Notamacropus eugenii: one gene and its partners. The protein of the gene in region 1 purifies or fractionates together with the protein of each later gene. This does not show direct contact. Links are inferred from orthologs where the notes say so. Each region holds a gene or a part of one and is shown in the gene's direction. Other genes may lie near its edges. The genes, in order: POLR3E, POLR3B and GPN3.

The links.
Region 2: the proteins of POLR3E (region 1) and POLR3B purify together in Homo sapiens (affinity purification with mass spectrometry; 8 studies listed by BioGRID and IntAct, counting the BioPlex papers as one, with this or other methods). This does not show direct contact. The link is inferred for Notamacropus eugenii from reciprocal best matches to the Homo sapiens genes POLR3E and POLR3B.
Region 3: the proteins of POLR3E (region 1) and GPN3 purify together in Homo sapiens (affinity purification with mass spectrometry; 3 studies listed by BioGRID and IntAct, counting the BioPlex papers as one, with this or other methods). This does not show direct contact. The link is inferred for Notamacropus eugenii from reciprocal best matches to the Homo sapiens genes POLR3E and GPN3.

Annotation. Positions count from the first base shown.
Region 1 is NC_092874.1:396,628,981-396,637,073, reverse strand, and holds the start of POLR3E (DNA-directed RNA polymerase III subunit RPC5), read left to right. Parts: upstream 1-5,024; 5' UTR 5,025-5,107; intron 5,108-5,371; exon of another isoform or gene 5,372-5,510; intron 5,511-7,025; 5' UTR 7,026-7,105; exon of another isoform or gene 7,106-7,109; intron 7,110-8,093. UniProt on the Homo sapiens protein: DNA-dependent RNA polymerase catalyzes the transcription of DNA into RNA using the four ribonucleoside triphosphates as substrates.
Region 2 is NC_092874.1:288,740,484-288,748,195, forward strand, and holds the start of POLR3B (DNA-directed RNA polymerase III subunit RPC2), read left to right. Parts: upstream 1-4,682; 5' UTR 4,683-4,807; coding exon 4,808-4,879; intron 4,880-7,712. UniProt on the Homo sapiens protein: Catalytic core component of RNA polymerase III (Pol III), a DNA-dependent RNA polymerase which synthesizes small non-coding RNAs using the four ribonucleoside triphosphates as substrates.
Region 3 is NC_092875.1:35,917,149-35,924,364, forward strand, and holds the start of GPN3 (GPN-loop GTPase 3), read left to right. Parts: upstream 1-4,169; 5' UTR 4,170-4,358; coding exon 4,359-4,406; intron 4,407-7,216. Other genes in the region: protein FAM216A, read right to left, coding at 3,363-3,445. UniProt on the Homo sapiens protein: Small GTPase required for proper localization of RNA polymerase II (RNAPII). May act at an RNAP assembly step prior to nuclear import.

The DNA of each region.
Region 1 (8,093 bases):
ACATGTGAGTTTTCAAAGCCAAGATTGGGGGAGCTCCTTAAAGGCTACTCAGAGTCTCATCTGGAACATGAACCTTCTTCCAAAGAGTAAGCCCCTCAAAGCAAAACCTCACCTCAGAGTATATATACACTTTTCAGAGCCAGAAGGCATCACAATCTTGTGACCCAGTGCCTCATTAGCAATTAACAAAGATGTGAGCCTTTCTACAAAACAAGCCTCCCCTAATCTGAGGCCCATTAATTGTCAGGGAAAATCTTTAAATTACATGCCCTCTGCCTCCTGATTTAGACTGAAGATGCAGCTCAAATCCCACCATCAGCAGGAAGCCTTTCTCAGTCCTCCTCCAACACTATCCCAGGGCCTTCCAACTGTTCTTGACTCCATTTGGGGAATCACTTAAACAGGGTCACACAGGTAGTAAGTATCTGAATATGATATGAACTCAGGTCTTCCTGACTGCAGGCCAGAAATTCTTTCCACTGAGCAACTACCTTCATGATTAAGGGAATGGACCTCTGTTCTGCTTTTCTTTATTTGTGTAGTGCTTAGCACATTGTAAGAACTCAATAAGTACTTGTTGACTGACTCTCCCCATGCTTTTTTTTGTAAAGGAAACTCAGAATACTGCTTAGAATCAGGTAAAATAATTACAGCTAATGACCAATATTGGGTCCAGGGCACAAATGAAGGAACATAGCCCTCCCTTAAATAACTCTCAGGTAGGGGAGTACAGGAGCAGCGAACAAGGCTGGTTGTCTGTTGTTTTTTTAAACTGTTTTTCTTGGTGACAAAGGATGGTTCCTTGAAGGAGGATATTGTGGGAAATATGTTTTTTAAAAGACTCAAATAAAATTTTATGTTAAAAACAGGCAAATGAGGGACTAATTATTTTCTTGATATGGCAATACTAATAACTAACATCTGAATAGTGTATTAAGATTGTTGTTGCTAGCGAACAACAGAGATTGTATGATACACATATCTTTGCATTTCACAGTCCTAGGTCACTGCATTCAACAGTTGCACACTAGAAAGTGTTCAATAAATATATGTTGATCTTAAAAGGCATCTTTACTGTAAAACTCATCTAGGAGAGTAGTTCACTGCTTGTTTTTGCAATAATCACTTGAAGGAGGCTGTAGGATAGGAGGAGAGTAGAGGAAAAAGCAGGGAAACTGAAAGCTAAAGTGTTGGGTTTAATCAGAAGTGAAGTCAAAGAATTCCATTTGATTTACATGACTTCTTTTTTTTTTAAGGAATTTTCCTCTCTCATGTAAATTGAGACATGATGGTAAGAGCTAAATGGCAGAGTGGATTGAGCTTTGGGCCTGAAGAGGTAAAATTCAGCCTCAGACACTTACTAGCTGTAGGACCCTGGACAAGTCATTTAACCTTTGTTTCCCTCTATTTTCTCAACTTTATTTTTCTTATTTCTTTTTTCAAGATTATTTTATTTATTTCCTCAACTTTAAAATGGAGTTAATAATACCACTTATCTCCTAAGGTTGTTGGGAGGATCAAATGAGATAATATTTGCAAATCATTTAGCACAGGGCCTGACCATGTAGTAGATACTTAATAAATTCCCCTTTCTTTCCTTCCGTGTCTTGCTTGACCTGAATAACAAAATTGCCCTGGCTGGGTTTTCCCTTATTATGTCTGGGCTTCGACCATCACAAGGTCATTTCTTGCCTGCATGGTGACAATGATGTCTCATTATAGTGACTTGTGCAACTATATATTTCATGCTAATTTCAAAACAGGTAAGTCAAGTCCTTGCTCTCAGACACTCCTTAGCAGCTCAGAAGTAGCCTAAGAAGCTAGAATAGAGTGTGATTAGATCCAGAGAAGAATGGGATAGGGATAGTTTCTGGTGTCATTCCCACAACTCAAAATCAAAAAGATGTGTGCCATTACATCCTCTTGTTAAGTGTTTAACAATCTGCTCTCTAAAAAAATATACATAGAACATACTCAAGTTTAATTTTCAGTATTAACACTTTCTCTATCATTTTCTTAAGTCCAGATAATCAATAAAGCAATAGGTCAAGATCTAAAATATATAGCATTTGCTGATTTCTGAGGCATAAATTCTCACACTGAAAATTTAATCAAACTTAAATAGTTCAAACACTAGCTCCAGCACACCCCTGCAATGACCCCTATCTCCTCTGTTCTCCTTGCCTCTATCACCAGATTCTCCCCTAGATATTTTTCTTTAATAACTCCAGTTTAGCAAAGACAGGGATTCTTACTTTAGTCTACTGAGCACAGGGAACTCTGCTTGGATTCTACTCAAGCTTTAGCCCTAACTCATCCTATGGAGTGGAGTCACCCTCCTATATTCTCTGGCTTCTGCTTCATTTTTGACTTGAGGACATTTCAGCTTGACAGTTTCAAACAGGTCTGTGAAATTAGGGTAATGAAGTAGGTCAACTAGAGCTTAATCAGCTCTCTGGGAAGCTCTGAGTGGCTGGTTTCAGCCTGTCTAAACTCGAAATATGGGGATCATCTGTATATATGTACTTTTCATTTGTCAAGAATTTGCTGGCTTATAAATTTCTTGAAAGCAGGAATTGTTTCCTTTTTGTCCTTGTATACCCAGCACCTAGTACAGTGACTGGAACTTAATATAAACTTATTGGATTGAATTGGAATTGAATATATGTGTGTATGTATATGTATATGTATACATACATACACACATGAATATGAACTATCCTCTCATAATATTTTGGTATACTCAAGCATTTATCAAGGTACCAACCAGGATGTAATACCTCTTCACAATAATTATCTCATTTTATGGGGAAATGGGGGAAATTTATTGGCCCCAAATGTCCACCTGGTACCTTCTTTGTTTGCTTTGTTAAATCCCCTTTAGTACTATGGAATTTGTTTTAGATGGCAAGTTTTGAGTTCAGTTATAATTGTTCTGGAGTCCCCAGTTAGGAAAATCCCTAACACTTGGGCAGAGTTATACTCTCTGCCTCACATTTACTCTATTACATTTAAGTCTATCTTTCGTTAATCCCTGATTTCTTTGCAGGTGAGGCAAAATTCAGTTTACTGGAAAAATATGGGTAATGAAACATCATATAATATTATAGTGACTGTGGCTTCAACAAGGGAAGTTGGGACAGAGATGTCCTTTTCTCTGGATTTCCCTCAGCCTGGGCCCTCCTCCTCTCTGTGATGCCTGTTGAACCAATAACTCTCCTCTTTATTTTCTTTTTTTCTGGTACAGATTATTTCTTCCTTTCCCCTATTTGCTCCAAATCTATTTCTCTTTTTCAGACAGATGTTCTTCAAACAAGCTATTTCATCTCCCTAATGCCAAAACTTTCACTGGCTGTCTCCCATGCCTGGGATATTCCTTCTCCTCCTGGCTTGCCTAACTTTCTTTAAATTTCAGGTAAAAGTCAAGAAGTCTCATATCCCTCAATGCTAATGCCTCCCTTCTGAGATTACCTTCAAGTCATATATATGTATGTGTGTGTGTGTGTGTGTGTGTGTGTGTGTGTGTGTGTGTGTGTGTGTGTGTGTGTGTATAGATAGATAGATGATCGATAGATAGATGATAGATAGATCTGCATTTCTTTATAGGCTTACACAACATCTCACAATTAAGTGTTCAATCAATGCTTGTTGTCTTGACTTCTTCCTTTCATACAAATTTCTTAAGGAAGTCTCTAACACAATGGCTTTGATTGATTCAAAGAGGTACACAGGCCCTGTTCACACCCTGTTCTGATGGAGGATCCCAACAGAAAGTATTTTCATCTAATCAAGGAACCAGAGCCAAACGGCACAGTGTCTACCTTACCTAAGGGCATCCCTTTCCAAATCAAATGAGAAGTTCACAGAGCCACTCACAGACCTTCATATTCCTCTTTTCTTACGGCAATAATATTCCATTACATTCATGTGCCACATTTGCAAAAACAAATTTCCAAACGGTGGTCCCTGCGTCCAATTCTTCCCTGCTGCAGAGTGCCGCTTGACCATTTGGATACATGCAAGCTTCCCTTCCTGGGCCGGCGGGGCTGTCAGGGCGCCGAGGTGTGGCCACTCTGGTCAATTTCAGCATCATTCCAAACCGCCCTCCAGCACGGCTGGGCCGCCGCGCAGCTCCTCTGACAGCGCGCTCTGTCCCTGGCTTTTCCCGGCCTCTTGAACATCAACCATTTCTGCCTTCCGTCATCTTCGCTAGAAGTGGAACTTCAGTTATTCTAACTTAGATTTTTCTAAAGGTCACATGGCCTTTACTTTTTACTGTTCTCCTTTTGGGAATGCTAGGAAGAGCTGTCTGATTTGGGATGGGGTAAGCTAAAAACAGCACACATGAGTGCGGTCATGCGAATGGAAAACACTGTGAAAGGGCCCTGAAGACCTGCCCCAGAAGGGCTCCCCCTTCCCAGCCTCGGAAGGGGACAAGCACCCACGCGCGGGGTGGCGGAGCCGGCTGGTTATTTCCTAATGTTTGTCTCTCTGGGTAAAGGGGAGGGGAGGAAAAGAGAGATAATATGAGATTTAAAACAAGACATTCATAAGAAATGGGAGGCACTTTTTAAAAAGATGTATATTTTTTATTTATAAAGAGAGAACAACAAGTCAGTCTTTACCGGACAGCTCGATTCCACGCGAGATCCAGGACACACCAGGCTTGGAGTTTGGCCCGAAGGACGCGAAAAGAAGCCGCTTTTGTCCTCCGGGGACTAACGGTCTGGGAGGGAGGCGCAAGAGAGGAGACGGAGGGCTAAAATCCGGAAGCTGGAGGAGGATGAATTCTACTTCCGGGAAGCTCTGACTCTTAGAGCGTCCAAAAAACAAAACAAAAAAAAAAAAACAAAACAACTCACTGTCATAGATTGACTAGAGCTCAAGAAGCCGCCTTCTGTATCTAGGTAGCGTGGCCGAGCGGTCTAAGGCGCTGGATTAAGGCTCCAGTCTCTTCGGGGGCGTGGGTTCGAATCCCACCGCTGCCAGAAAGTGGCTTTTTTTGGTTCTCCCCATTCCCCCGCGCTCCAGCGCCACCTGCGGCCTGCGAGCAGAAGTTATCGGTGGTAGGAAGGCGAGGAAGGGCCGCTCCTCTCCAGGCACCGAGGTAGGGGTGGTGCAGAAAAGGTGGCGGAAGGGAGAGAAGGCGAGGAAAGGGGGAGGTGCCTCGGCGCCACCTGCTGGTCCGGAGAGGAAGTGCGGCCCGGAGAGTGGGGAGAGCTCCGCTCTGCTCCGCTCCGGGGCGGGGCATTGTGGGTAAGAGGAAGAGCCGGGGGAGGACCCAACTCCCCCCACGTGTCTGCTGGAGTTTTACCAGCAATATGGCTGCTGCCTGAGAGAGCTGGGCCCGCCGCCGCCGCCGCCGCCGCCGCCGCCGCCCCTGCAGCTCGCGGAGATAGCTGCCGCTTCTGCCTCCTGCTTCCTCCCGCCGCTCCTCCTCCTCCTCCCGCTCCTCCCCCGTCCCTGCCGCTCCCCCTGCAGCCGCCCCCTCCCCGACGTCCTCGGGCCCGGTGAGTGAGAGCTTTTCTGTCGTGGGGGCCGGGGGACGTCCTCGGGGAGCGGCGCTGGAGCCGGAGGAGGCGTCGCGGCCGTGCTCGGGGGCTAGGCCCGGCCCGGCCCGGAGCGGGCTCCTGCGGCTGCCCAGGTCCAGGCGTCCCGGAGGGCGGGCCTGAGAGGGGGGCCGCGACCGGGGTGACTGTGCAGGGCTGTGGGGAGGCGCCCGGGGTGGCTCCCTTGCCGCTCCCACGGTCGGGGGTGGGGTCTCCCGGGGGTTGGCCATCCTCTGACCCAACACCCCGGGGCGCTCTTGCTCCAGGAGGTGCGGAGGCCGGCGGATGGGGGTGGGAGGGCAGGAGTGGGGGGGCTCCCACTGGGCTGGACCCCCATCCTCGAGATGGGGGGCTTGGAACTGGGGAGGCCGAGTTTGCCCATTGACCCAGCAGGCAGTGGGTAACTCCAGGTGACCCAGCGGTGCCACCCTCTCCTGGAGACACCTGCCTTTGAGAGGTTAGGTCTCCACGGCCGGTGACAGCTGTGGGGGGCTGACTTGGGGAAGAAATAAGTGAGTCAGAGTGGGGACGGGGCACTTCCCGCGGTCCTGGGGCAGAGGTGGTGTTGGCAGCACCTTAGAAAGAGAGCCCAGCAGATGGTGGCATGGACAGGTGGAGAGCACGCCCCTCGGGGTAGCCTTCCCTGAGAGCTGCCCTTCTGCCATCTTACCATCCTTCCACCCAAGGATCACCTTAGAATCCTGGACCTCCGGGAGAGGCCTTGGCACTCTCTGGTCCAATGACCTCTTCTTATTGAGAAGCCAACCTGTTCAAAGTCATGCCGCCAGTTTGTGGCAGCTCTGCCCTTTTGCCATCGTTAAACCCTAGAGGTTGTGCGATCGATGCCCCCCTTGGTTCAGGCTGGTTCTTTAGGATTTCCTCCTTTCTGGCTCCCCTCCCCAAAGTACATGTACACATCCCCTCTTAATCCTGGAGAATTGTTCTTTGGTCCAGTCTCCGGGTTTGAGATTACTGACCATGTTAGTTCCCGGAGCCCATTTCAGTTTTCATGATTTCTTAAAAATATTTGCATCATTTTCAAATGTGGAGTAATAGCAGAAATTCCCCATTCTTCACCTTTCCTAGGGTTAGAGGTCAAGCCGTCTAACACTAGCAAAGTATTCAGGTTTGTAAATGGCTGAGAGTCAGAGGAGACCAGGGCAAGATAGTTTGACCTCAACTCTGGATCTCTGGCTTTTATGAGAATGGCAGGGAACAGGTCTACTTCCTTTCTGGAGATCTCAGCATCCCTGAGCTTGCTCCAGCTTTGGTGTCATGCTGTAAATTCTCCATTCCTGGTAACTTAGAATTGGCTGATTTCATTGTCTGACTAGTCTAGACCTAAAGCAGATCGCTAGAGAGCCAGACGAGAAGGGCAGTGGCCCTGGCTATGAATTTCTATGAGTTGCCGCGGACAGGATGTTTGTTTTTTTTTTTTATTTTTTGTGTTATTCTTCATGCCTCTTTTTCTTTCAGTTGGTACTGACATTTGAGAGGAGAACCTGGCTGCTGGTGTACGGCTCCCAGGGCAAACCCACATCTGCCCGTCTGGGCAGGTAGGTATGTGCTCTCCAGGCCTTCTGTCTCTTCAAGATCCCCTTGGAGACAGAGGGTTCATGAGGCTGGGAAGAGGCTGTTTTCTGTTGTTGTTGTTTTGTTTTTGTTTTTTTGAATAAAGGGAAAAGATTTTTAAAAAAACTTAAGCTTTCCTGGCTAGGATGGGTGGAAAAGTGGTTACTAAGGTGGTACATTGAGTTGACTATTCAGGAGAAAGGTAGAAACATCCAAATATAAACCCCAGAAAGAGAGAATAGCAGAAGGGTAGCTGAATACTGAATCTCCATTATACCTTCTTTCCTTTTGAGCACTTTATCCCCTGTAGAAGTGTGTGTACCATACAGCTGGGCACTTGGTTTTATTTCTTCTTGTATTCTCTAGTTCATTCATTCCTAAGTGCCAACGGTGAAGACACTGAGGGAGATACTAAGAATAAAAAAAAACCAAGGATACAGTGTAAATGTGAAGAGAAAAGATACAAAGTGTTAATGACTGTATAGTCTGGCAGGGAGGACCCTGATAATTGAGAGGATCTGGAAAGGCTACATTTGGAACTTGGTTCTTGGGTAGCATTACAAAGGAAGAGAGGGATTCTATGAGTTTACACTCCTTTTTATAGATGATGAGGAGGACTATATGTAGATTTGTTTCTCTGAGCTATGATTTTTTTTTCTCTTTGGGTGTTCGCTCCACTTCAGCAAATCTGTAACCCCTGAGTTGATATGGCCAAAAAGTTCATCATCATGTGGTCATCCTGGTGATGCACCTTCTTTAAATGACAGCAACCAACCCTCATATTTCTGATGCTTTTTTCTGTCACAGCCATTTCCAGATATACTTTCTAGCCTTCCGCTCAGTGAGCCTTCTCTTATAACATTAAAAAAAGGTTAAATAAAACTTACACAGGAAACATGTCTGATGGCGTTCCCTATATTCTGTCTTTCCAGTCTTTTCCAGAGAAAAAAGGGAGGTGTACTTTCTCACTCT
Region 2 (7,712 bases), about 110 Mb from region 1:
AGGTGCTGAATATAACTTGGTGTTTCTCGAATTCTCTGTCCTGTTCTTTGCCCCCACATTAAGGGCTTAGAAGATACAGCTCCAGTAAATCACATTTCATCTCTTCCAGTAAGTGACCATCCTGTTTAAAACAGGGAGATAAAAGAAAAACATGTTTTTACCATAAAGTTTGAATCCAGTTGTGATTCTTTTATGCACTTAATTTATATCACAAGAAAAAATAACAATGTACACTTTTAAAAAAAATTACATTTTTAAATAAGGGCATTTTATTTTTTAAAAGTGACAAAATGAATTTATTTCTGGATTTAGGCAACTTGCATTGACGAAGGTGTCTCAGTCCCCGTCTTCCTGGATGTAGTTCATCCCAAGATTGCTTAAACATTGGCTTCCATTTTAAAGTTTCTTAACATGGTCAAGTTTTGCTATATAAGGTTTATTAAATGTAAAACTAATATTTTCATGTATTGCATAAATTCTGTTTTTGAAAATTTTGGCAAGAACCTGTTCCATGCAAGCTGGCAATGTTCTTTTTTTTTTTCAGTTAAATATTAAAGCATTGACTTAAAAAATGATTGGTATGTCTGTTTCATGGGGGGAGGGCTTTTCAGGGACTCATCCAATACTGCTGACCCTGAGGGACTTTAAGCCTCGGTTAATCAGGTAATCATCATCTTCCTGTTACGTAGACCACCAGGTTCTTCTCTGTTCTTTAAAATTTTATTTTTTTGTTATTTTATTTTTTTGTTTTAGTCATTTTTGGTTTTTTTGTTATTCTTTATTTGACAGATGCCAACAGTTGTGGATATTTCCATATACAGAAGAGAACAGAAAAAGGAGGATTGTATATGAAACTCTAAATCTCTTATATACAACTTGGTTTTTTAGAAAGTATGTCCTCAATCAGTCGTTTGTTAAGCACCAACTATTCTAGTTAAAAATACAGGTACAAAGACTGAAAAGATCCCTACTTGGAATGAGCTCACATTTTAAAATAATAAATTCCTTATGTAGTTTCAAAGCTGTCCTGCTCTCTGTGTCTTCCTCTGAATTTCCCTTGGTTCTCTTTTGTCTATTAAAAAAAATACTTCAATGGCCCTTTGTTTCTTTTTTCTTTTGGCCATAACACTTAGGAGCCCATTTCCTTGCTCTCCCCTTCCAGTTTAAAAAAATAAAATCAAAAACTTGTAATGAATAAGTATGATCAAACAAAATAAAAAATCTATGCCGTGGCAACGTCTGCAAATGTATGTCTCCTTCTGCATGCCCTTTTTGTCGAGAGGTGAGGAATCTGGTTCATCAGGAGTCTCATCTGCTGTTTTCCAAGTGACTCTCATCACGTGTCTCTGCTTTGGGGCTTGGGGTGGTGGGGACAGGGCTGGACTTAGGTCAGACCTAGGGTGCAATGGCATCTGTGCTGAGCACCTGCCTGGGTGCCTATGGTTGGGGTGGTTCGGGTGGTTCGGGGCGGGGGCGGGCACTCACCAACCAGGGAGAAATCAGTGAAGACTGTGGTAGTGGGTGAAACTTGAAGTGAATCATGCCAGGCCTCAGGGGTTCCAAGAAACCAAGGTGAGGAGGAACATTCCAGGTATGGACCCATGGGGGAGGAATAGGGGCTGAGCCTTATTGGACTTGGCCGAATTTTGTCCTTTGTTCAGTGCTATCTGACTTTCAGTGACTCCACTTAGGGTTTTCTCAGCAGAGATACTGGAATGATTGGCCATTTCCTTCTCCATCTCATTTTACAGATGAGGAAAGGGAGGCAAACGGTGAAATGACTTGCTCAGGGTCACCCAGCTAGCAAGTGTCTGAGGTTGGATTTGAACCCCAAATCCAGGGATCTGTGCACTGTGACATTAACTGCCTCAGTGTCATTAATTAGTAGGGGAGCATAAGCCACAAGTATGCAAGATTATGCAACAGCCTTGGAATAGATGAGAATGTAATGTAAGTATATGACTGCGTTGAAATGGCAAGGAGTATGGAAAAATCAAAGGAAGGATGAGCATTTTTCTAGTCATTTAAGATTTCCATAGCACTTTATATCTATTATCTCAATTCATTCCACATTGACCCTGGAAGGTAGGTGCCATTACGATTACCATTTTACAGTTGGGGAAATTGAGGTTAAGAGAGGTTAAATAACTTGTCTAAGGTCATGTAGCTAATAAGTGTCTGGGGCAGGATTGAAACTCCTCTTCTACCTGACTCCAAATCTAGCACATTGGTTTGTAATCAGAGGACCTGGGTTCGAATGCTGCCTCTTTCTACTGGTGTGACTTTGGGCAAGTCACTTAAATTTTTTTGGGCTCAGTTTACACATCTGTAGAATGAAGGAGCTGGACCAGATGACCTCCGCAGTCCTCTCTACCTTTGTGTCCATGATCTTATGCTTTGGAAGGGAGGAGGATGGAAATACTTTCTGATGGGGAGGGGGAAGAGAAATCAGGGAAGGCTTCTTGGAGGAGCTGGCATTTGAGTTGCAGCTTTACAGTTAGATGAGATTTCCAAAAGTCAAGACAGGATGGAGTTGGCAGCCTGTCATCTTTTCTGCTTTCTTTTCTTTATCCATAACATTCTAGATTCTATGGGAAAAGAGAACATCTGCAGATGTCTTGGGAATTTCTATAGTAAATGGATATCTTATTGATATTCGAAGACTTCCAGCCTCATCACCTTAAACCAAGATTTCCGTTTGACGGGAAACTCGTCAGGATGTTGGAGTGGGCCCCATGGAAAGAAGCCAATGATCATGGAGAGCTCCAGGAAATTCTTGAGTCACCCAAGGTCCTTTTAAACAAAAGCCTTTTTCAAAATCAGCCATGCAAGGAGAGGGAAATGAACTCATAGTTTTTCCTACCCAGACCCACAGATTCAATGGTTGGTACTTGGAGTTCTCCTTGGTAGGATTTCAAGAGTTTAAGTATACCTAGGAAAAAAAAGTCTCCCCAAGTGCTCACTGATACTTGAAATTCCATATTCAAGGTTGTTTACCCAACTCTATATTCTGTCTGGATTCAGCTACCCTAGACAGTAATCGTTACTGGAAGCGACCTGATTAAAGGAACCACATCTTTCTGTAGGCTCCAGTGAGGAACTGATGAGCCTTCAATAAATATTGGTTGGATCTAACCATCTAACCCATTGCTGTGACTGAATTGATCAGATATTTTTGGGAAGGCAGATTGTGGCAGAGAAGGCACGAGGCAAACCTTGATGATGTTGGGGGTGATGAAAGAGGCCAAGGCGCCCCCCTTTCCCCCAAAGGGAGGCTGTAGATTGAAAGACATCTTCCTTCATCATTTTACTCTAGGTCCATGCTGGAGAAGACATTCTGATGTGGTTTTCCATCTGTACCTCACGACAACATTGTTTTTCTAAACATTTTCAGAATGATGCTTAAAGAGCATGGCACAGCAAATTTCCATGGTCCTCAAATAATCAACAAACCTGTATTAAGTGTATGTCAGGCTTGAGGTGGGTGGGTGCTATTATTACCCCCATTTTACAGATGGAGAAACACAGTTATGTGTGTGAGGCTAGATTCGAACACAAGTTTGCCTTGGTATCTACTATGCACTTTGCCTTCAAGGAAGCCTAGCTGAAAGGCAGCTTAGAGGTGACTGAGAATAATGATTTCATTTACAGATGGGGAAACTGAAGCCCAGATAGATATTACATGTGAACATATATGTGTATATACACACAGCAGTAGAATATATGTAATATACATATATGTATAAGACACACATATACATACATTATACATGTATATATACACACATATCACCTGTCATACATATAACACAGACATATCTTACATATACTACACCATATTATTGTTATATATATTGTCATATAGTATAGCGTATATTATATGTATATATGCTCTATACACATACTATATATTAAACATAACATATATCTTACATTACACATTACATATATACATAATCTGACAATATATAATGTATATATGTACATACACAAATGTTCATAAACAGATCTATATTACATATATACATAGAGCTTGCACACATATTACACACCCCCTATATTATATTTATACATTTCACACGCACATTAGAGCAAACACATTACACACATCTTACATGTACTATAACTTTATTACAAAGTGCACATACGTGTCATTATTACACACACCTAGATCATATAGATTTCTCCCATGTCTTAGACATATATACACATACATATGTGAGGCATTATATTATATTACACACGGGCATACATTACACACATGTACATATTTTTATAAGTGACTTGTCCAGGGTCACCTTGGGGGGCACCTGGAGGTAGGGTTTGAACTCAGAACTTAGGGCTATTCATGATATATATTTATATTATAATCATCCACTACGTTCAGCTGGGAGAATGATGGGAAGGATGGGCCTCCTGGAGGCGCTGGCGTCTGGGCAGGACGAAAGGACGAAGTCTCCCTTTGCCGAAGTTTTTCTGGGAAAGGAGACGTAGCACTTAAGCCCAGACTGGGGACGCCACGTGGAAGGCTCCTCGCCCCTCCCCCTCCCCCTCCGCGCGTGCTCCCTGGAATGGGCGGGGCTTGTGACTTCATCAGGGGGCGGAGCTCCGCCGAAGACACATCCGGGTCCTGCCGATGACGCCATAGGGTCCCTAAAAGCAGGCGGAACCTTTTCGCCGTCAGGCGTGGTGCACTGGCCGAGGGGGAAAGGTTTGGGTGCTGCACTGCCGGGTGTTCACGCTCGTAGCGGTCCGCCCGCCGCCGTTAGGGTCGCAGAGGTGGGTGTAGCAGTGGCGACTGGAAGCCATGGACGTGCTAGCCGAGGAGTTCGGGAACTTGACTCCGGAGCAGGTGGCCGCTCCCATTCCTACAGTGGAGGTGAGTGAAGCGAAGGAGCCGGACGTGAGTGTTGCTTGGGGGCGTTCCCTCCTCGGGCGCCCGGGCTAGTCAGGGAATGTAGCTGGGGCTGTGCTCCAGGGCCTAGGGCGCATGCTCGGAGCACTCCGCCCCGCCCTCTACGGGCGTTGGGGCTCTGAGTGCGCCTGCGCCCACGCCCACACCTTTGCGCACGAGGTTTCTTCCCGGGCTGTCAGGCCCTAGTCAGTTGCTCGGGAGGCGGTGGAGACCTCGGACGCGTCCTGGTCCTGCCCCGTGGGGTGGAGCTGCACCTCCCGCAGGGTCGTCCTCCTGGACTTCCCAGCTTGAGGGGCATTTTCCTGGGTAGAAAAAGTGGAAGAAAAAATAACATGATCAGCTCAGCTTTCTCCTACTTCATTATCAGTTTTGTCTGAACCAAATCATTGATCTCTCTTTACCTTCAACGGAAAACTCGTTTTATCGACTTTGGGGCTCTCAATAAGTCTGTCAGGTCGAGGGACAAAGACAAAGTTTAGTCAAGGTTTCCTGCCCTTAAGACCTGAACTTAGATTTCCCTGATGTAGGAAACTACTGGATGAGACAGCTCCCACTACCACTGCAGGTTGGCTTCTTCCCTGCAGCTTGTAGTGTTTGAGAATTGAGTTTAAGTGATTTTAAGGCCACAACACTCAGGGTCAGAGGCAAGATGTTTTTGAATCCGGCCTCCTTTTTCAGGTTCCTAGGCTGTCTCTCTCCATCCTTCTTCTCAGTAGGGAGATGTGATACATAAATAACCTACACATAATGTGCTTAAGAGAAGAAAATAATGTTTGAAGTGGTTGGTGGGCAATTGTTTACCTACTTAGCTTCCCCAGGTTTGGAGAGTTCTCATTTAGAGAATTAAATTTAAAGTATGACTAAGAAGGCCTTAACTCCTTTGCATTTTTTACAGTCTCCTAGACTCTTTCTTCACCCCTTTCAGCTAATAAGCCCTTGCTGATCGCGTCATATTGGACGCATGTGTCACCAGGAGACCCGATCCATTTAGTTACAGCCTTAGTTGGTGTGTATGTTGACTTTAATAGAGTTGGTTGTTGTCCTTCGTTCTTGAAGAGGACCAAAATGACATCACCATGATAAAGTTCAATGTTGACTTCAATAGAGTACTATGAGGATGAATGAATAAAAAGACATTTTTTAAACACTTATAAAGTGCCAAGCACTATGCTAAGCCCTGAGGAGTCAAATACCATAATAATAGCTAGCAGTTACTATGTTCCAGGCACTGTGGTAAGCACTTTACAGATACCTCCTTTGATTCCCAAAACAGTGCTGGGGGGTAGGTGCTATTATTATCCCCATTTTACAGAGGAAGAAGGTTAACTACTGGCTAGCCCACTAGTTAAGTGTCTGAAACCAGATTAGAACTCAAATCTTCTGACCTCAGACCTAGCTTTATCCATTGAGCCACCTAGCTGCTTCCAAATACAAAAGCAAGGATGTGTTCACAGAGTTGCTTTACAAAAGATGAGTGGAAGTAGGGAATTAAGTAAGGCATTGCTGGGATTTGCTTGTCTACAATAGTTGGTCAGATGAGACAATCAGTGGAGACAGGGCAGTGTAATGTTTCTGCCTTAGAGGGCCAGGCTGCTGGGTAGGCTCTTGATAAGATAACTGGGTTGAGGGTTTTAGATCTGCTTTGTAAATCACTTGTTGGAACACCTGTTGAACTCTCAGTACACTGAGCTCCAAGGTGTTTTCAATAAGCTGTCTAGTGCCTCTCTCAGCCTGTACTTGTAGTGTCTCACGTTAGTCAGTCGACAGCCTGGTAAAAGGGATACAAAGGAATGAACTGGGTCTTGTTCTTAAGATATTACATTTTACAGGGGAGGAGGATGTGTACCCATTACCATGGTACTGATGTTAATTAAATAGACCATGGCCAAGGTTGGTGGTGGTTGTTGACCGTCATCTTTGAAGAGGACCAAAATGACATCACCATAGTAAAGTGAAATTTCAGTGTGTCCGACTGTGACTGATCAGACCAATATGAGCTCAGAATGCTCATCTGCAGGTTGGGCACAGATAGTCTGTGTGAATATTTGGGGTGGATATCCCAAATTTTTGCATCTTACATTTACTTTGTGCTGTCTCAGTTCTGCTTTGCTCAAAGAGCACAGCACCCTTTCTGATGTGGGCATGCCATGCTGAACAATCCTGTGCCAGTGTCTCCCATGTTGCATAATCAAATTCAAAGTTCTTGCGAGAGACCTTGAGAGTGTCCTGTGTTGCTTCTTCTGACCACCAGATGATCGTCTGCCCCATGCAAGTTCTTCATAAAATAGTCTTTTTGGCAAGCGTATTTTGCATTCGAACAGTGTGGCCAGCCCATTGGAGTTGTGCTCTTTGAAGCATAGTTTGAATATTTGACAGTTCATCTCGAGCAAGGAGTTAAGTGTCTGGTACCTTATCCTGCAGGTGATCCTCAGAATCTTCCTAAAACAGTTCAAATGGAAGAGATTCAGTTTCCTGGCATGACGCTGAGAGACTGTCCATGTTTCACAGGCATACAACAGTGAGGTCAGCACAGTGGCTCTGTAGACCTTCAGTTTGGTAGTCAGTCTAATACCTCTTCCCTCCCAAACTTTTCTTTGGAGCCTCCCAAACACTGAGCTAGCTCTGGCAATGTGTGCATCAACCTCATTGTCAATGTGTACATCCCTGGAAAGTACACTACCAAGGTAAGTGAACTTATCCACAGCATTCAAAACTTCTCCATTTGTTATAATCGATGGTTCCACATATGGATAGTGTGGTGGTGACTGATGGAGCTCCTGTGTTTTCTTGGGGTGTT
Region 3 (7,216 bases), on another chromosome or scaffold:
TAAGAAAAATTTAATGTGAAAAAATGTCTTTGCACCAACCATCTCTGATTTTATACCCAAGATGTATAGGGGAGGCATGTAAATATATAAGACCTTGTATGTGAATTTTATATATGTAATTATACATATGTACTGTTATAAGTCATAAAAACACATATATAATAATTCTTTAATATATAAATTGTCAATGGATATGAATGGTTATTAGAAGAAGAAATGAAAACTGTTAACAACTATATGAAAAAATGCTCCAAATTAAATGTTAAAGAAATTAAAATTCAAACATGGACCAGAGTCTCACTGCTGACTCTCTAGACTCCCTTATCTATGGTGCTAGAACATCCTTCTCACCTTGGCACGATTTCCCACCAGCTCTACTGCCTTCTGGTTCCCTGGAGGATCCCACTCTGCTCCTGTGGCCCTGTCCTCAGTTGGGTGGTTTTAACTGAAGACAGGTACTCTCTTTCTGCTTCTATATTCCCAGCACTTAGCCCAGTGCCTAGCATACAGGACACACTTAGGAGATGTTTGTGCACGTACTGGCCAATTTCACTTCCTATTCATCATAATAGATACAGGTAGAAAATACTGGAGGAAGTATGAGATGACAGGTCCAGGTGGAGCTGTACATTGACCTAGCTGTTCTGGAAAACAACTTGGAATTAGGCAAAAAGAAAACAAAAAGTCACCAAGCTGTTCAGAATGTTTGACCTAGCAATCTTCTATTTGTTATGTATCTCAAAGAAAATCAGAGAAAGGAAAGTCCCAAAAGAAATATTGCTGTGCTAATATTCACAGCAGTATTTTCAGAGTCTCAATACAGATCTAAAGAAAGTAAAACCCATTGGTAAATGGCTGAACAAATTGTGGCACGAGAATGTAACAGACTATTACTGCCCCATATATAATGACAAATATGGGGATTGAGAGAGATATGACTTCCTTATTAGAACTGTATAAGTTGATACAGAGTGAAGAAAGCAGAACCAGGAGAACAGTATGCCTAATGACTACAAAAAAGGAAATGAACAAACGCCAAGACATCAAAATTCGTATTAAATGCAACAACCAATCGTGGTTCCAGAAGATGAATGATGAAACTAACACATTTCTCTCTTCTGAGCAAAGAAGATGTTGTGTAAAGGGTAAAAAACAGTCACTTTGTGAGTTGGGTTTGTGGAATTGCTCTTATTTTAAGGGAGAAGGTATCAATAAAATTTTAAAAAGAAAAAAATACCTATAGACCTTGGAATGTGGAATTTTCTGATGTTACAAATGTTTGCATTTACTTCTAAGTTATATTAAAAATGTATTCCTTTACATTCATAGGTTCAGGCAACTATGGAGAATGTTCCACGGAGGGTCCGAATGGAGGAGGGACCACCAGATTCTACTGTTTGTGGATAACACTGTCCTAATTATATCAAAGCCTAGAACTGTAAAATAAAATGAAAAGACAAAGAAAAACAAAACAACCTCCCCACAAAGATCCATAATAACTCAGAAGAGGTCAACATAATAATCTATAGAGGAAAAAACAAACAGATGAAAAATGGCTATCGTCCAAACTGTGACATGCAGTTAGATGGCGTAGAGATGGATTGTGAGTTGGGCCCGGAGGTTCAAGCTTCTACTATAGTGCATTAAAAGGGGAATTGTTCTTTTATTATTATTATTTGTATCCCAGTGCTTGACATATTAAATCCTTGTTGAATCACTAGATTGAATTACATTTTGAAAATTCCAGTTTCTTAAGGATCCCAAGCTGTTCTCTCACACACACATATACATGCTCTCTCTCTCTCTCTCTCTCTCTCTCTCTCTCTCTCTCTCTCTCTCTCTCTCTCTCACACACACACACACACACACACACACACACACACACACACATACCCCTTTCTTTTTAGAAACACAAATGTTCTCTCTGAACCAAAGAGTGGTGAATCTTGGAACACAACAACCTCTAATGAATCATAGTGGTTGATGACTCCAAGGACAATGGAGAAGACAAAGAGTAGGCTAAGTCAGTTACATTAGGATATATGCGTAAGAAGTGACATAAAGAATATACTCTAGGAAAAATATAATCAGAAAAGGAAATGGGCTAGCTATGTCCTGAGAGTGAGGCATGGACAACTCCGAATTGCCAGCAAAGAAAAGTATATTTTTAAAAAGGCCTAGAGGAAGACCTCCTGTCCAGTGGATGGATCCTCAGTCAGTCAATAAGCATCCATTAAGCAAATCTATGGAAGAGTATAGGATGTAGAACAATCGGTTGATGGGATGTTATCTTTAACAACAGAAATAATACTAATGTCACTGAGGTATCAGCTCTAATTAAGCACTGACATATTATACAGTTTCACTACAGCTGTACCTAGGGACCTGAAGGGCAACCTACTCTAACCTTCTCCGTGACTATGTGAGCCTATGAATATAAAGGAATAAATTTCAATGTGATTTTAAACAAATGCAAATACATTTAACACCCGAAAATTCCACATTCCATCACCCAAAGGTGTTTTTTATTTTTTATTTGTAGGTATTTTTCTTCTTCTTAAAGTTCTATATTTGTCTTTTGTTTTTAATCTCAGTGACTTCTTTGTAAGGATGAGGACCCACCCCCCCTCCCCAGAAGTCTTGTCTGTCCCTACACTGAGCTACCTGGAGAGCTTAAAGGCATAAACCTTCGGTTTGCCAGGGGAAAGATCCCAGGGGATGGAATCAGGAGTCAACTAAAAGTAGCCCTTTCCCTCATTCAACAAACTTATTAAATGAATGAATAAAATATAATTAAAAGCTATTTCAAAAAGAATTTATTTTTTATTATCTCATCTCTCACACAAGGATTTTCCTCATTTTCAAGAAGGCAAAAGAAATACACAATCTGATGTCACACAGCCCACCCCAGGGACCAGAACCCAGGCGTCTCGCCTCCCAGGCTATTGTCTTGAGCGCCTGAGGTTTTCTATGCCGCTCTTATAGAAGCTGACCATCCCTGCCTATTTTTCTGTGGAAAATGTAGCCTGGTGACCCAGCGCCCCCTCGGGGTAGAAGCCTCCACCGTGGCACCCACCCAGGTGAGTCACTGCACCAAACGCCTGTGCGGCTGCTGGGAACCTTTCCCCAGCCCCAGGCCCCCGCCCCCGTCTGACTGTGAGTCAGTCCTTTCCCCATCCTCCCCAGCAGCAAGGGATGCTCGTCCACCCTCTGCAAGAATCCTCTCCTCCCTCTTCGCCCGTGGCTTATCCATGCGTGGCCAACGGCCCTCTACACCACGCCCCGCCCGGGGCCGAGGAGAGGGACACGGACTGGCCCCCGTCCCATCTCTCGGTGCAAGCCTGCGGGGCCCCGAGCCTTACCCGCTGCTCCCGGCTGCAGCGGACAGCTCGGACCCTCCGCCATCCTCCTTCACCCAGAGAGGCGTCTGCATCTGGCCCGGCATCTTCTCCGAGGGGGCCTCAAAGGCGACGTCCAGTGCAGGGAGGGAGGGAGGGAAACTTCCCCCTCTCCTCCTCCGGGTTTCAGGGTGCGTGCGTCAGGCCGGGGAGGTGTTGGGCGGACAGGGCGCTGAGCCTCCACCCCGACCACCTGCTTGTCTGGATCCTTCCCTCCCTCCCACTCTTCCTGGGGCTCCCGCTGGCTGGGCTCTGGAGGGGCAGGGGGGACGCTGGTCAGGCGCGGAACGCTGGCGAGGGGCACGTTGGCATCTTTCGGGGCTGAGGACGCCCCGTAAACGGGAGGAGCGCGCGCATCCTAAGCAGGAGATGACGCCCGGTGCATACTGAGCACGGACGTGTGGGCACGCCTCTTTACGGGATCCCTTAGCTGGAAATATGATAATTATTACTACTATTATAATTGTATTTTAAAACATTTAAAAACCTCCCAGCTGAGCTCTCTGTTCAGAACATCACCCCAAATAGCAATGCCCAGGATCTGCCGGAAGCCTGGCTAGGCGGTGGTTCCGCCGCAGCCCCAGGCAGGGATGCGCTCCCGCCCCTTCTGCAGGTGGATGGATGGATGGGTTGGTACAGAGTCAAGCTTTGTGCCTGGATCCATCCTCGTCCATTCTGCGCCTGCGTGCCTGGCGAGCCGCTAGGCAAACCCAAATTGACCTCAGCGTCGTTTCTTACTCTTTAGGAAGCATGGCCCTCTTGAAGACCCATAGCAGGAGGCGGGGTTGTGTATGCTAGAATGGGGAGGGGAGAGAGGGCCGGCCCTCGGTTTCGATTGGCCCTCCCGCCCTCCGGAAGTCGAGTCGCGGACTGTGCGCCCTCAGAAGTTGCCGGGACGCTCTTGGCGTGTTTCTTCTTCTTAGGCTCCGTCGGTAGCCGCTGGGGCCCACGAGGGTCAGTATGCCTCGGTACGCGCAGCTGGTGATGGGCCCCGCCGGCAGCGGAAAGGTCAGTGTTGGCAGGAGGCTGTTGGAAACGGGGTGGAAACTCTAAGATCCCCTGGAATGCTGGGAGCCTTAAGATGGGGACACAAGCCACACAGAAGCTACAGCCGCCCCCAGACTCGAGGGGAGGAGGGGATGCCTGGGAATCTAGCCACCTAGCTGCCCCTCAGTGTAGCTAATCCTTTGATGGAGGTAGAGGCATCAAACCATAATACCCAACCTGTTGTTTTGACCAGGACTGGTTCAGAAACTGCCCTCTTAGTGTTCTAGGGAACGCAAATATAAACATTAGAGAACCCGAGATAATATTAAACTCAGTGAGCTCTTATTAGACCCCTGCTGTATGCTAGGCACTTAGTAGGGGCAGGGTGGCACAGCCGACCTCGAGGGTGGGAGGACGTGGATTCGAGTCCTTGCTTTCTGGCCCAGGCTGGTTGTGGAATCCTGGGCCAGTCGCCTCTCTACCGAGGTGGAGGGCACGACCGCCCTGGGAGTTCCAGCCCCACGCTATCCCTAACCAATTCAATAATCGATCCATCGATCGACTTTTATTAAGTTCCAAGTATATGACAGGCACTGTGCTAAGCACCAGAATGCTAGAGACCCTGGAGATATCAAAGAAGGCTGGTTCGCTAACATCAATACGAGATAGATACTCTCCTAGCTGTGTGACCATGGGCAGATCACTTCCCTTCTGTTGTAAAATTGGGGTCCAAATAGCTACCTAGACCATATGGTTGTTGTGAGGCTTAAGTGAGATGAAACCATAGATGGAATCTTAAAACACCCAGGGAAGGTCAGTTACTGCCCTGTACTAGGGGGGCCTTCCCGTTGGATGAAACCTACCTGGGGTTTGTTTTTGGTGGGGACAGACAGCCCTGGAGACGCTGAAGGCACTAACCAGTTTCTACTACCTAAAGATTTTTCATGCTAAGGTCAGAGCAACAGAAATTTAGGGCTGGAAGTGACCTTAGTCCAACCCTTTCGTTTTTCGGAAAATGTTGAGACCAGGACAATTATAAGTGACTTGTCCACACCAAGAGGCAGAATTTGAACCTAGGGTCTTCTGACTTCAATTCCAGTTCTCTCTTTTGCTGCACTGCTCTCTTGTTGGAAGGACCTCAGTTCCAAACCTGGCTTTGCTACTTACAGGCTCCCAACCTAGGAGTCATTCTGGATTCCCATTCTCTCATCCCCCATATCCCCCATATCCAAGCTATTACCATAGTTTGCTGGTTTTACCATTGCAGCATCTCTTGTCCATTTCACCTTGGTAGCATCTCTAGTTGATTTCACCTTTGCAACAGCTCTGGTCAGTTTCAGCTTTATAGCATCTCTTGTCCATTTCACCTTTGCAATATTTCTGATTGACTTCACCTTTGCAGCATCTTTCAAATATACCTCCTTTTCTCTTCTGACCCTGCCATCCCCCTAATGCAGGCTCTCATCACCTCATATCTGGACTATGGCAATAGCTGCTTTGGGGGTCTGCCTGCTTCCAATCTATCCTCCACTTAGCTGTCAAAGTGATCTTCCTAAAGTACAGGTCTTGTATGTCACCACTTGCCCTGGTACAGGCTTTCATCACCTCACACATGGACTGTTGCAGTAGCTACTGGTGGGTCTGCCTACCTAAGGCCTCTCTTCATTCCAATTCATCCTCCATTTTGCCACCACTAAAGTGATTTTCCTAAAATTCAGATCTGATCATGTCATCTTCCTATTCAATAAATTCTTGAGAGTTCCTTTTGCCTCCAGGATCACAGTATCCTCTGCTTGGCCTTCAAAACCTACTCCCTAATTATATTATGAACAGCTGGTCCAGCCTATGAATGAATCCAAAAAAGTCTGGACCTTTATGCTCACACTTTTGCCAGAGAGCCCTGTCAGACCAGACAGCATCCTGTCCAAGTTTTGTGCTATCATCTTGTGTAATTCATTGGGGAAAAAGAAAAAGAAAGAGAAAGTTGCAGATAATCTAAAATATTTTCTGCTAAACGAAACACCTGTGGCATCAAAGTTTATCTCATTAAAGAACAGAAAGTTGATTTGTTGCAGCTTTCCAGACATACAATTCACAGATGTTTCTAGGTGAAGAGGTATTGTGTTCAGAATATCAGAATCTGAGTTAAGCAAATGGCCTTCACCAACATGAATGAATGTGCAACCCAAGATCAAATAATAGGATGAGCCAGGTGACCAATAGTAGCGCTGAACTTAGAGCTTTCTACTAGAATATGGCAGAGCCTTTCCCCTGTCCAACAAAATAAAACACAGTAAAATTTTAAAAATTCATTGCAGATAAAGGGAATGAACTAGAGGTGGAAGCCCTTCTTCCACTCTCAGCATCTTAGGAGAATTCACCTATAGAAACACTTGTGGAAATAGATGTAGACGAATAGTGTGGGAATTAATCAGAATGGGAAAGTTAAAATTACCCGTGTTACTGACCTCAGTGTAGATGGGTGTTCATCTTTCGTTGCCAAAGAAGACCATGCCATCAGAGAAATAATGACATAACTTGCACTTGACTTTGTTTCGAGTGAGGGAGGGCTGTGCAGGTCACCAGTCTCACTTTCTCCTCCCAAGTTATCTGGATCCAGTGACCAGATATTCATCAGGATGAGGCAGTTGGGGTTAAATGACTTGCCCAAGGTCACACAGCTAGTGAGTGTCAAGCGTCTGAAGTGAGATTTGAACTCAGGTCCTCCTGACTCCTGCACTGGTGCTCTATCCACTGCACCACCTAGCTGCCCCTCAGTGTAGCTAATCCTTTGATGGAGGTAGAGGCATCAAAGCATAATACCCAACCTG